3 linked regions of the Mus musculus genome follow. The protein of the gene in region 3 interacts with the protein of the main gene of each other region in a biochemical or structural test. Links are inferred from orthologs where the notes say so. Each region holds a gene or a part of one and is shown on either strand. Other genes may lie near its edges.

What was found. The genes of interacting proteins can lie anywhere in the genome.
Region 1: of the proteins of Mapt (region 3) and Mapk8, one has a biochemical effect on the other in vitro, tested with the Homo sapiens proteins (2 studies listed by BioGRID). The link is inferred for Mus musculus from reciprocal best matches to the Homo sapiens genes MAPT and MAPK8.
Region 2: the proteins of Mapt (region 3) and Actg1 form a complex in vitro, tested with the Homo sapiens proteins (2 studies listed by BioGRID, with this or other methods). The link is inferred for Mus musculus from reciprocal best matches to the Homo sapiens genes MAPT and ACTG1.

What each region holds. Positions count from the first base shown.
Region 1 is NC_000080.6:33,444,353-33,448,480, forward strand, and holds the start of Mapk8 (mitogen-activated protein kinase 8), read right to left. Parts: upstream 2,807-4,128; 5' UTR 2,663-2,806; intron 1-2,662. UniProt on the Homo sapiens protein: Serine/threonine-protein kinase involved in various processes such as cell proliferation, differentiation, migration, transformation and programmed cell death.
Region 2 is NC_000077.6:120,345,690-120,349,855, reverse strand, and holds the start of Actg1 (actin, cytoplasmic 2), read left to right. Parts: upstream 1-1,360; 5' UTR 1,361-1,431; intron 1,432-1,758; 5' UTR 1,759-1,764; coding exon 1,765-1,887; intron 1,888-1,980; coding exon 1,981-2,220; intron 2,221-2,319; exon of another isoform or gene 2,320-2,364; intron 2,365-2,442; exon of another isoform or gene 2,443-2,506; coding exon 2,507-2,945; intron 2,946-3,037; coding exon 3,038-3,219; intron 3,220-3,322; coding exon 3,323-3,466; 3' UTR 3,467-4,166. UniProt on the Homo sapiens protein: Actins are highly conserved proteins that are involved in various types of cell motility and are ubiquitously expressed in all eukaryotic cells.
Region 3 is NC_000077.6:104,229,930-104,234,238, reverse strand, and holds the start of Mapt (microtubule-associated protein tau), read right to left. Parts: upstream 2,804-4,309; 5' UTR 2,632-2,803; intron 1-2,631. UniProt on the Homo sapiens protein: Promotes microtubule assembly and stability, and might be involved in the establishment and maintenance of neuronal polarity.

The DNA of each region.
Region 1 (4,128 bases), on a different chromosome or scaffold from region 3:
ATTTCCATAATACTGGTCATGGATTATGATCCTAACTGTATTCATTTTGGTACAATTTATTCTTTAGCTTGGGACCCAGAACAGTCTCAAACTCATCTTGCCTTGGACTCCCAAATCCTGGGATTACAGCATGCGCCACCATTTGTGCCTCAGTTTACTCTTACACTAATCCCTTTCCAGCTAACTTCTCTCAGGATTACAAGGAGCAGGAAGCATATAGTTTCCTAGTCTGTCATGCTGATAAAACTCACTAAGGTAACATATTCTGTTCCTTTCAAACACCAGACAGATTATTTTTAAAAGGGGTGGGGGTTCTTTGTGCAAAATGATGACCCAGAATAGTATAGTAGTGATGAATGCATAATTAACAAATAAACCACTAAAAAGTATACTCTATAAGGGTAACTCTTTTATGTGAATTAAGTATCAAAAAAAAAAAAGCTGTTTAAACAACAGAATTTAGAAAACAACCTAACTGAACCTTTGTAGAGTCTGAATCACTCAAATAATTTCTTAATTCTGGAGTCCCTTCCAGAACCCAATATATTTAACAAGATAAAGCAATAAAAGTTTGCTGTCTCAAGATCTATATCTTATAGTAACAAAGTCATGTTCTTATTTTTTTTCATTCCTATCTTACCAGTAAATAAGTTCATCTGAACTACTTTCATACTGAAAAGATACTTTTCAAATAGTGGAAATGCACCAAAACTTGGATTTTTAAACCCATATGCTTTGTGAGTTGGTTAAATACAAGTTAAGATTTAACCTTTCTAGTAAGCACCTCTAAAGAAATTAAGCAGCGCTGAACTACTAGAAATATTTGTAAGATACATTTACATGTTGATTTTCAAACTTAAATCATCGAAACCCTTGTGAAATAATAGTCACAAAAAGATAAATATGGCTCACTGGGTAAAGGTTCCTGGAAGCAGGGGAACCCAGTTCCATGTCCAGACCCCACAGAAAGGTGGAAGAAGAGAATGAAGCCCACACAGTTGCTCTTAGGCTTTCACATGCACACAGTGGCATGTGTGACCCCACCCCACAAAAACATCATGCAGGCACACCCACCGTCATAAGTTTTTTTAAGGGAGATAAATGCAATCATGCTAGATTCTTAATGAAACATCACTGTTGTGTCTGGGTGTATTCATACATGACTAGAGAAAGCTCTTACCTAAAATACTAGAAGTGGACAAAGTTCTCAACTTTGATGACAGAGTACCAAGTAAATCCCCTTTATCTACAAGACACTGTAAGTGTTTCATTTGGAGAGTTTGGAGCATCTCTGACTTTTAAGTATGGCTACTCAACTTTTTATGACTATACACACAAGCCATAATCCTCTATTTTATTAACTATATAGAAAAAAATCAGGAATAGTTAACCTAGAAGTGAAAAAGTGATTCCAAACCCTTTGGTGGTCTTTAACAGGTAACATCCTCTATTAATTTATGATCTAGCCAACTGAGAGTGGTATGTGACACATCTGAAACTTCGTGGAGAATTTAAGGCTTTATTTTAAATTTTTGTCTATAAAAGTCTTTCAATCAACCCAATGAGTATGACTTCCATGCTTGGTGATGGGGAAATGATGCAAAATAGGCCTCTAAGTACCATTTTGATTACTTCGTCAGACACAGAAGTAAACCTTCCAAGTTTAACAGCCTCAATAAGAGAACTGAAGTAACCATTACCAATGATACGAAAATTGACAAGGGGGGGGTGGGATTTAAGAATAAAGGTAGTATATTTAAGCCAAACCTGGATATTCTTCCTAACACTATCCTTGGAAGTTCCAGTCAAATGAGCCAAATACCTTACTTAACATACATCCCTTACATAATCGTCTCATTTAAAGGCACATCTATTCTGTTCCATACTACCCTAATTTTTAAGGGTCTTTCTCTTGGCCTTCACATCTTCTCCACCTGGATACAGCACTAACTGTTGCCAAATGAATGAATGAAATAAACATGTTCTAACTGACCAGGTACTTGGTGGAAGCTGATCTCAAAACACAATAGACCGGCAGACCAGAATTCTACTGAAAAGATCACTTAATTTCAGAAGTAAAAATAGAAACTACCGGACACTGTGCAGTCAACATGATATTAAATTCCCGGTGGGATGGGAAACTTTCGGGAATAACAATGTAATGCGTTCCTTACGGTACTTTACAATGGACTTGGTTCTACCTTGTCTGGACTAGGAACCCAAGCGCAAGACAAAGGGACAGCGGCGGGGGAAAGTCAAAAGGTCAGCGGCAGGCGCCCCTCTCAAGGCGCGGCCCGCAGGCCGGCGCGCTCGCGGCCACCCGGCTCTTCTCGGCGTCGCGGCACTCACGTCCGCACAAAGAAACCGCCCACAGTCAAAACACGCTCCCCGTGGGTGCGGGAGACGTATGCACGGTCGCGTCGGCCCGACCTCCGCGGGAGCACCTCCGAACTTGCCGCCCACCCGCTCCATTTCCCCCCGCGCGACGTGGAAGCCGGCCGGAGCGGTGAAGCCAGGTCGCGCGGAGTGGACCACGCCCCCCGCTGCCCCCGCCGCCCGCGCTATTGTTCCCGCGCCGCCCCCGCCCCGCGCGCGTTCCCGGGAGGGGGTCACGGCCGGGGAAAAGCGGCGGCCGCCCGAGCCGCGGCGCCCGCGCACTCACCCGGCAGTGCAGCCAACGGCGACCTGGAAGCCCGTAGCGGAGAACGGCGCCGTCCTGCGGTGGCCGCGGCCGCTACTCAATCCTGTTCGCGGCTCCGCGTTTCGGCCGCAACGTCCGGCCTCGGCCGCTCCGCTGACTAACAGAGACGCGGGCCGTCAACGCGCACGCCCGCCCACGTCATCGCGCAGGGCCCCGCCTCCGCGCCGGCGAGCGGCCTAGGGGCGGGCCAGCCCCGGGGGCCCGGATTACGAGGGCGTGGCCCCGCGACTTGGGCGTGGCTACACTGGGGGGCGGGCTGCAGTAGCGGAGGTTTTCCCCTGAGGGCGGGGCCGCGAGCAGCGTCTGGGCGGCCGCGTGTGAGGGGCGGGGCCGGGAGCAGCAGGGGGCGGGTCTGCGATGGCACGTGGCGGCGCGTGGCGGCGAAACACCAGTCATAGCTTAAGCCTGCATGGTTGCTAGCCTCGCGGGGAGGAGGGGTTAGTGTTTGAAGGTCAGGCACGCGTGCCAGGGCACACACCTGAACCACGGAGAGTCCTGGTTTGACAGATACTCTTCAAGGGCCTACCACCCACCAAGGAGTAGATGTTCTCTAGCTCCCTGGAAGAAGTTACCTCCTTTTACCCCCCAAACCCTCCTGCTCCAGATTTTTTGCCTTACCTGATTTACCTGCAAGTCCTTGCGGCTCTCGCAAATATTAACTATTCACGGATAAACTGACGAGCCTCGACAATGGATGGAAAGGTATTTAAATCACTATCATTCATGAGGCAAAATATATTTAGCACTTTAAAGAGTTCAAAGGCATTCTCGCCAACAACGGAGAATATCACTAAGAGAAAGAAGCAACACATACATATAGAATGATTCTACGTTTATATAAAATATATTACATGCACAGTATATTAAACTTGGAAAAAAAGTATGACAATTGCTTTGACAGTAGGAAATAAAGGGCAGTCTCTCTTACACCTGTGTAGTATACTGTGATTTCCAAAATATACAAATATGTATTGAGTAAATTCAGGTAGACTGTTCCCATTACATGTTAAAATGGTCTTTCTCCAGGGATGCTATCATGAAGCAAATGTGAGCACTCATTCATTTATTCTCCCCCCATTTTATCTCTCAGCAATTTTTTAATTTTAATTTCTTATTTCTCCAGTAAATATTTTATTGCTTGCCTATTCTCTTAAAGGCAGTGTACTAGCACTAGCAATAAGTAGAACTTATAGAGAATTCTTGTGGTATCAAGATAATAAACTATACACCAAATCAAATCGACACTAAAATGCAAATTAAGGACACATCCAACTATGAAAGGAACCAATGTATTAATAAGGCCAGGAAAGCCTTCTCTAAGGAGCTGCCTCCTAATTTGAGAACAGGTTTGACCAGGGATTATGTCCGAGTTAACTTGATGTGCGAACAAGGAGTTCCAGAACGGGGTAGACTGGGAAAACTGAAGA
Region 2 (4,166 bases), about 16 Mb from region 3:
GTGTTAGTTAGCTGTTAGCTCCTGTAGGCTCATGGTGGGGTCCTGGAGGTCCAGCCCTGCATCCCCCTCATGGGTGGTGCTCCCATTTGACAGGCACCTCTGTACAACCACAGGGCCAGCGCCCTTCTTTCTAGGCCTGATGTTGCACAAAAGGTGACTGAGTGTTGGCACGGGTTTATGGCCAGCAGGTAAGCAGGGCAGGCTGCTTGGTCCCCCTGGGTCTTGTGTTCATGTCTCAGATGGGGAGCTGACCTTGCAGGGCTGCCTGAGAGCGCCTGTGCATAGGGTGGGAGTGGCACCCCGTACCTGCTCGAATCAAGCTCTGTGCCCTGTGACCTTGGAGTCCCTCACCTCACTGCTACCCTCCGCTTCATTCCACAATGAACCATTCCAGAAGCTTACAAATAAAACCCGGTTAACTCCCGTGCCAGCTTTCTCTTCAGGCACCATCTAGGACGGCAGCGCCACGACCCTGCTAAGGGTGACAAGTTTCCAAACAGCCGGGAGAAGGGCAGCGAGGCCGGCCCGCCCCCCACGCCTGTCCGGAGGGGACTAAGGCCTAAGCATTCTGTGCCCAAAACCAGTTTGACCCGGACTTCATAATCAGTGGAGAGGAGTCTCGCCAGCTGACCCACGCGGGGGGCGGGGCTGGACCATCCTGAAAGTCGGGAGACTTCCCCTGCCTCAGTTTCCCTACAATGTGTCCCGCAAAGCCAGCATAACACAATGCCCACTCACACCACCACCACCACCTTCTTTGATGCCCAGGGACACCCAACCCCGTGACGACCCCTCCTCCAATAAAGGGACATGGCTGAAGTGGAAGAACTGGTGACCCTCTCCCACGTGACTGGGATGTGATGGCCGCTCCCCGGACCCCCGGGAATCCCTCCAGCCCGTCCCCAGCCAGGCACACACGGACCCTGTAGAGAAAGGTCCTGGGGGGTGTGCGGGGCACAGGATTCACATAGGGGCGGGGGCCACGGGACTCACCCCAGATCGGGGCGCGGCCCGCCCCGGGCTTGGCAGTTTCGGGGCGCAGCCCGGGCCCTCCCTGCTACGCGGCAGTCCCGGGGCAGGGCAGGGCCGATCGCACGCACGCCACTCGCCGAGACCCCCGCGAGCAAGAACCGGGCCTCCCGGGGTCGCGAGCGCGCGGGGGCGGCGCGGGCGGGGCCGTTGGCGGCGGCGCGGGCCAGGGGCGGGCGGGCCCGGGCCCCACGTGTCCCTGGCGGGCGGGCCAATAGGCGCCCGGCTTTTGGAAAGATCGCCATATATGGACATGTTCTGGGGCCGCGCGCGCCCCCGCCCGCGCGCGCGGCCCGCTCCCGCTTAAATAGCGGCGGGGGAGGCCGCGGTCGGTCTCACACTCCGCCGCCGGCTTACACTGCGCTTCTTGCCGCTCCTCCGTCGCCGCCGCGTCCTTCGCCGGTAAGCTGCCGCTCCCCGGGCTTGGCCCAGTGACTTCCTGTGGCCCTTTCTTCCCGCTCACCCTGCCTGCCGCACCGCTGCGGAGCGGAGCGGAGCGCAGGGCGCCTGACGGGTGGGCCTGGGTCTGCAGCCGCGGCTGGGGGCAGGGCGGGGCCCGACGCAATGCGCAGCCCCTCCTCGCCGCGGCGGAACGGGGCGCTGCCGGTAGCCGACGGTTACGCCGCCCGGGGTGGGGACTGCACTCCTCCGGGGTGGCTCGGCCCTGGCCGAGGACATTTTCTGAGTTCGGTGAGGGCTGCGCTAATTCCGGGGCTTCTTCCTGCGCAGATCGCAATGGAAGAAGAAATCGCCGCACTCGTCATTGACAATGGCTCCGGCATGTGCAAAGCCGGCTTTGCTGGCGACGACGCCCCCAGGGCCGTGTTCCCTTCCATCGTAGGGCGCCCCCGACACCAGGTTAGTTGAGAGGAGTGGCCTCCCTTGTGTTCTCTCTGGGCCCGGGTCGCGCGGTGGGTGGGGCGAGTCTGACCGCGGCCTTTTCTCTCGCAGGGCGTCATGGTGGGCATGGGCCAGAAAGACTCATACGTGGGTGACGAGGCCCAGAGCAAGAGGGGTATCCTGACCCTGAAGTACCCTATCGAACACGGCATTGTCACTAACTGGGACGACATGGAGAAGATCTGGCACCACACCTTCTACAATGAGCTGCGTGTGGCTCCTGAGGAGCACCCGGTGCTTCTGACCGAGGCCCCCCTGAACCCCAAAGCTAACAGAGAGAAGATGACGCAGGTATGCTTGAGCCGGGACCTTGCCTCCCCTTGGGCGTGACGAGTCATTTTGTGTTGTGCCTCATTTCCTGACATTCAAGCGTTTCTTTGGTGTTTCTAGGGTTCTGTTCCTCTTCTCCTGGCATTTCCTCCCTGAAGCCTCCAGGTTTCTGTTTGCGTTTCTGCTTGCGTTCTGTTCTTTTTTTCTTCACACATCACATTTGTGGCATGCAGCATGCAGAGTGTGGGTGTGGGAGGCTCAGGGCCCCTGCTACTCACTCACTCAGGTGTTCTTTGTCTTTCCACAGATAATGTTTGAAACCTTCAATACCCCAGCCATGTACGTGGCCATTCAGGCGGTGCTGTCCTTGTATGCATCTGGGCGCACCACTGGCATTGTCATGGACTCTGGTGACGGGGTCACACACACAGTGCCCATCTATGAGGGCTACGCCCTTCCCCACGCCATCTTGCGTCTGGACCTGGCTGGCCGGGACCTGACAGACTACCTCATGAAGATCCTGACTGAACGGGGCTACAGCTTTACCACCACTGCTGAGAGGGAAATTGTTCGTGACATAAAGGAGAAGCTGTGCTATGTTGCCCTGGATTTTGAGCAAGAAATGGCTACTGCTGCATCATCTTCCTCCTTGGAGAAGAGTTACGAGCTGCCCGACGGGCAGGTGATCACCATTGGCAATGAGCGGTTCCGGTGTCCGGAGGCACTCTTCCAGCCTTCCTTCCTGGGTAGGTGTCCACAACATGATTTAGGAGCCAAGGGGCTCTCAGAAGGGATGGAACACACAGAATGTAGTGGCTAAATGAGCTCTGTTCCCTAGGCATGGAGTCCTGTGGTATCCATGAGACCACTTTCAACTCCATCATGAAGTGTGATGTGGATATCCGCAAAGACCTGTATGCCAATACAGTGCTGTCTGGTGGTACCACCATGTACCCAGGCATTGCTGACAGGATGCAGAAGGAGATCACAGCCCTAGCACCTAGCACGATGAAGATTAAGGTGAGTGGCTACCACCCGGCCTGAGCTGGCCTTAGGACCTGTGGCTGGGAAGTGGGACCCACAGGAAGGGCATGAGTGCTCATTCAGTGTTTTTCCTCCACAGATCATTGCTCCCCCTGAGCGCAAGTACTCAGTCTGGATCGGTGGCTCCATTCTGGCCTCACTGTCCACCTTCCAGCAGATGTGGATCAGCAAGCAGGAGTATGATGAGTCAGGCCCCTCCATCGTCCACCGCAAATGCTTCTAGATGGACTGAGCAGGTGCCAGGCATCTGCTGCATGAGCTGATATTGAAGTATCAATTTGCCCTGGCAAATGTACACACCTCATGCTAGCCTCATGAAACTGGAATAAGCCTTTGAAAAGAAATTTGTCCTTGAAGCTTGTATCTGATATCAGCACTGGATCGTAGAACTTGTTGCTGATTTTTGACCTTGTATTCAAGTTAACTGCTCCCTTGGTATATGTTTAATACCCTGTGCATATCTTGATTTAGTCCTTAGTTCATGTGGCTCGGTCACTTGGGGGCTGGGGAGAGCACGCTGTAGATGAGAAAGCCCCAGCCTGGTGGATCTCTGTGAGCACCACTGAGTGATCTGTGCAGGGTATTAACCAACAGCAGACTTCCAGGATTTCCTGAGGCTGGCAAGGGTTCCTGAACCAGTTACCACTCCTTCTTGCCAGTCTAACAGGGTGGGAAAGTCCGAGCCTTAGGACCCAGTTTCAGTTCTGGTTTCTTCCCTCCTGACCACCATCGGTTGTTAGTTGCCTTGAGTTGGGAACGTTTGCATCGACACCTGTAAATGTATTCATTCTTTAATTTATGTAAGGTTTTTTGTACTCAATTCTTTAAGAAATGACAAATTTTGGTTTTCTACTGTTCAATGAGAACATTAGGCCCCAGCAACACGTCATTGTGTAAAGAAATAAAAGTGCTGCAGTAACTGA
Region 3 (4,309 bases):
TTGGCCAGCACAGTACCTCACTCGACCCCTCAACACAGTGCAAAATGGGAGTTCGAAGACGCTGTGATCTGAGCTTTGTTTCTGCACTGGGTAAAACGTTCTGTCTCCTCCCCCTCCCGCTGATTTTTCCGCTGTGACACCTTTGCCCAACGGGCCCGCTATAGTCAGCCCCCCCTCCCAGCCTTCCCCTTTCCGCATCCAGCCCAAGAGCCTGGCTTCTTCTAGCTTAAGAATCCTGTTCCCAGCAGCCCGTCGTGTGGCGAGGGATGGGTAGTATTTGAACCTATCTTTCAGATGCTCGCGAAATTTCTGCCAGGCGGGCCCGGCCACGATGCCACAGCCTCAGGCCGCGGTTTGATCGGGAGAGGGCGTTCCACCCCCAGCCTACATCAATCTGAGTGAGCAGTCGACGTGGGCAATTCGGCCCTTAAGAAGCTCATCCATCGGTCTCAAAACTGCTTACCCGCACCAGTATTCAGCGGTAAAATTAACCAGAAAACCTCGAAGACCGAGCTTACTGTACGGTGGGGAGGCTGGGACCTCTTAGCTTTCTATCCCTCTCTGGTTTCAAGGGCTGTTGTAGATGTGGATTTTTTTAAAAATGAAAGTCCCTCATTTAAATGATATTAATAAAATAATATCAGTCAGCACGCTTATAATAAAATACATTAGAGGCATCTCTCTCTCTCTCTCTCTGGATGGCTATGGTTGCCAGTGCCAAGAGAATGATGCTCGCATCAGGGATGAGGGGCCCCTTCCTCGTGTCTTCCAGGCACTATCAGACTACCCCAGGATTCTAAATCTCCGCGGAGTAAGGGGGGGGGTGGGAGGTAGGGGGTGGGAGGTAGGGGGTGAGGTAACGCCCAGAGGTTCCTCCTCTGGCTGGTGTGGTTCCTATGGCAACCCTTAACCCTCTCTCCTTGGGTTGGGAGGGATGGGTGTGGCCGCAGTATCCCAGGGGATCTCATACCCTCTCCTCACACTCTCCCACCGGGAGAGGCAACAGGGTTCAACGGTGGTGGTGGTGGTGGGGATGCGGAGTTGAGCTTGCCGAATCTCCCCATTCCCGAGGGTTATCTGGCTCCCCTAGCAGTGAAACACAAGTGGGGTGTGGTCCTCAGGATGGCCTGGGTGTGGGGAGGGATGTGCTTCCTCTGAGGGCTCCTGCACACGAGAGTCTATCTCGAATCCCACCCATGTGGCTCTGGGTCGAACTGGGGAGTGGGCTGCCGCAAGTCTGTAGATCCAACAAAGGGTCTGAAAAGAGTGGCGAAAAAAGGATGGAGCTGCTCCGAGTGCGTAGGCAAATATCCTCGTCGAATGAAAGCTTCCCGCCTCCCCCCGCACACTCCCCCAAAAAACCAGGGCTGGGAGCGCAGATCCTAAATCACACGACGAACAAAGCAGCGAGCTCCCCTAGACGACCTCAGGTGAACGCTCTGGTGCGCACCGCTGCAGAGGCAAAACGCCAAGGCTTCCGTGTTCATCACCCCCTGTTCTTTAACATGGGTCCAAGCCGGGTCCTCCAAAGCCTGGCCACAGCTCTTGGCATGCTACGATAGAGACGTGACTCGCCGCAAAAAGATGGCACCTCGCGTTCAGAGAGGGGGGAAAAAACGGAGAGGGGTGGCAGCGGGAGGAGACACATCGTACTCCCCCCTCCTCGCCCACCCAGGTCCACACCCACTGCCGCAGTGAGGGGCGAGCCCTGCGCGCCAGCCCGCGCCTCCGGCAGGGAGCGCACATGCCGGGAGCCCGGCGCAGAACGCAGAGAAAGAAACGCGCCCCGAAATGCACCTGCAGCCCTCGCGTGGGTCTGTGCCTGGCTGCAACGCTGCGCGCCCTCGAGCGGGGAGCCGCTGCCAGCCAGCCCGCTGACACCGCGAGGCCAGGTGACCCCTGACTCTTCGAGCTCCCACATTGGGATCCGCGCACTACCTTCTCTCGGGCACGGCGCTGCCCCTGTCACTGTACCAAGCGCGCGCAGGGGGAAGGGCGACTAACGTGACAGCGCCTGGACCCCTCCCCATCCTCCGGATTCCTCCCAGCCCCCAAATGTCCCCTGCCGGCTTCTGAAGGAGGAAAAGGGGAGGGGGCGGGCCACCGCCTTAAATCAGGGCCAGTGAAGGCCGTGTCAGAATCGCTGTCAGGGAGGTGGAGAGACATGAAGGCAGTCATCTTTTCTAGAACCCGATCCACACCTTCCTTAGGGCTGATGGCAATCAGGAGCAGAGAAATCCGATTTCAGGTTCTGTTTCGGGGGTCGTCGTTGGACCCCCATGCACACTCACAGACCCACGCCCATTGCGGCAAAAGGCTGAGATCCAGATTACAGAACAACCCCTTCCCTAGGTCACCGTCATCCGCGCCCCACCCTGCGGGCACAGCCCCCCTCATTTGCGCGGAGCCGATAGTGGGGACCCCAGCACTCATAGATACACGCATTCGCTCGCGTGCGTGCATCTCTTGCACGCGTTCCTTCCCAGCTCCCCAGCGCCTAGGGCGCAGAGAGGCCCCCGCCGTTGCGCCTGATTGATGCCCAGCTCCCTAAATCCATCTCTGGGGCGAGGGGTGGCAGGAGGACGGCGCACAGGGCCAGAGGGGACTGGATTTCAGAGCTGCGGCGCTTACCTGATAATCGACAGAAGGCGAGGACAGAAGAGGACAGCGGAGGAGAAGGTGGTTGTGGCGGCGGCGGCAGAAGGTGGGCGGTGGCGGCGGCGCTGCTGCTGGTGCTGGAGCTGGTGGGTGGCGGAGACTGAGAGCGCGCGCGGCCGAGAAAGCGCGTTCTGGAGGCCGGCGGGCAGCGCAGGCGCGAGCCACGGGAGCGCGAACCTCCCTAGGGGAGGGGCGGGCAGCGAGGCCTGGGCGGGCACCTCCCCTTCCGACCGCTAGGGGGCGCACGCGAGCGCCCCTCAACCCTCCTCTCTCCGCGCCGCTCGGCTCGCCCCTCTCCGCGCTTCCCTCCCCGGGTCCCGCCACGCCTCGGGCCGCGGTGCTGACCGCCGCGCGCACGCGCATTCCGTGGCGCACGCGCACCCGGCCTCCCGGGGCTGCAGCCTTTGTCTAGTCCAGGGGTCCCCTCCCTCGGTCCCCGCGGGGTCCAGGCAGAGCGGTGTGTCGGTCATCGTCCGCTTTTCAGTTCACCCTCGCTGGCTCTCCAGGCGGTACACCGTGAACCCCAAGTGCTACAGGCTCCCCGAGTCTCCTAAAATGTGGCCCTCCAGATAGAGCGCACTTTCTATTTCCAGGGCCAGCTGTTCGCTTGCTTTCTTTCCACCTGTTTTTGTTAATGGCCAAAGTGAATGATTTCCTTGACAAATCTTCTCGAAACAGATTAACTTGACCGTAATACACTTTAGCGTTTTCGTGGAAAAACAATTGTTTTTAAATCAAGGAGCATTCAAACCCATTAGGTATCTTGACTGTGACCCTAGCGAAGAAAAATCTTTAAATAGGTAAGTTCTAATGATGCTTACCACACACACTGCAAGGCATTTTCACAGAGTTATTTTTATCTCGTTTATTGAAACACCTTTGTACAGCGTGAGAGCTGAATTTTTAAGGTGCCTGCTGGAGATGGCCACCTGCTGGATGTCAAGCTTCCGGTTGAAATTGGTCATTAGTTCTCCTTCCAGCTACGTAGGCGTGGGCTGTGGCTTTAGCTTAATATCTTACCTCCCCAAAGCTCAATTCTCTTGGACAGCTGGAGCCTGTTCAAATGCAAGGAAGAGAGACAGGCACCTACTTCTTGCCAAAGAGGCGAAAACTTGTCTTGAAGCTTTCATTTGCATGCCGTTTTTTCTTTATTTTTCAAGGCAGGTTCTCACTATGTTGCCCTGGCTGGCTTGGAGCTCACAGAGATCCCCTGCCTGCCTCTGCCTCTAGAGTGCTGAGATTAAAGGTGTGCACTGCTATCCCAGCAGTTGTTTCTAAAACTCCAACGTTGTACCTGCTCGGTGTGTTGGCTCACATCTGTAATCCCAGCATTCAGATAGGCTGAGACTTGTTCAAGATCAGCCTGGGCTATATAGCAGAATCCAAGCCAGCCTGAATTGTATTACAGGGTGAAAGTGAGTCAACAAACAAACAAACAAACACACTTCTGGGCTGGGGGGGTGGATGGTTGTGAGCCACCATGTGGTTGCTGGGATCTGAACTCAGGACCTTCAGAAGAGCAGTCAGTGCTCTTAACCCCTGAGCCACCTCTCCAGCCCCCAAAATAAAATTTTGAGATAACTTTGGGTTCAGTTTTCTAGCACCACAAACATTTTTTCCCATATGAGCTTAATTACTGAATTATTCTGGA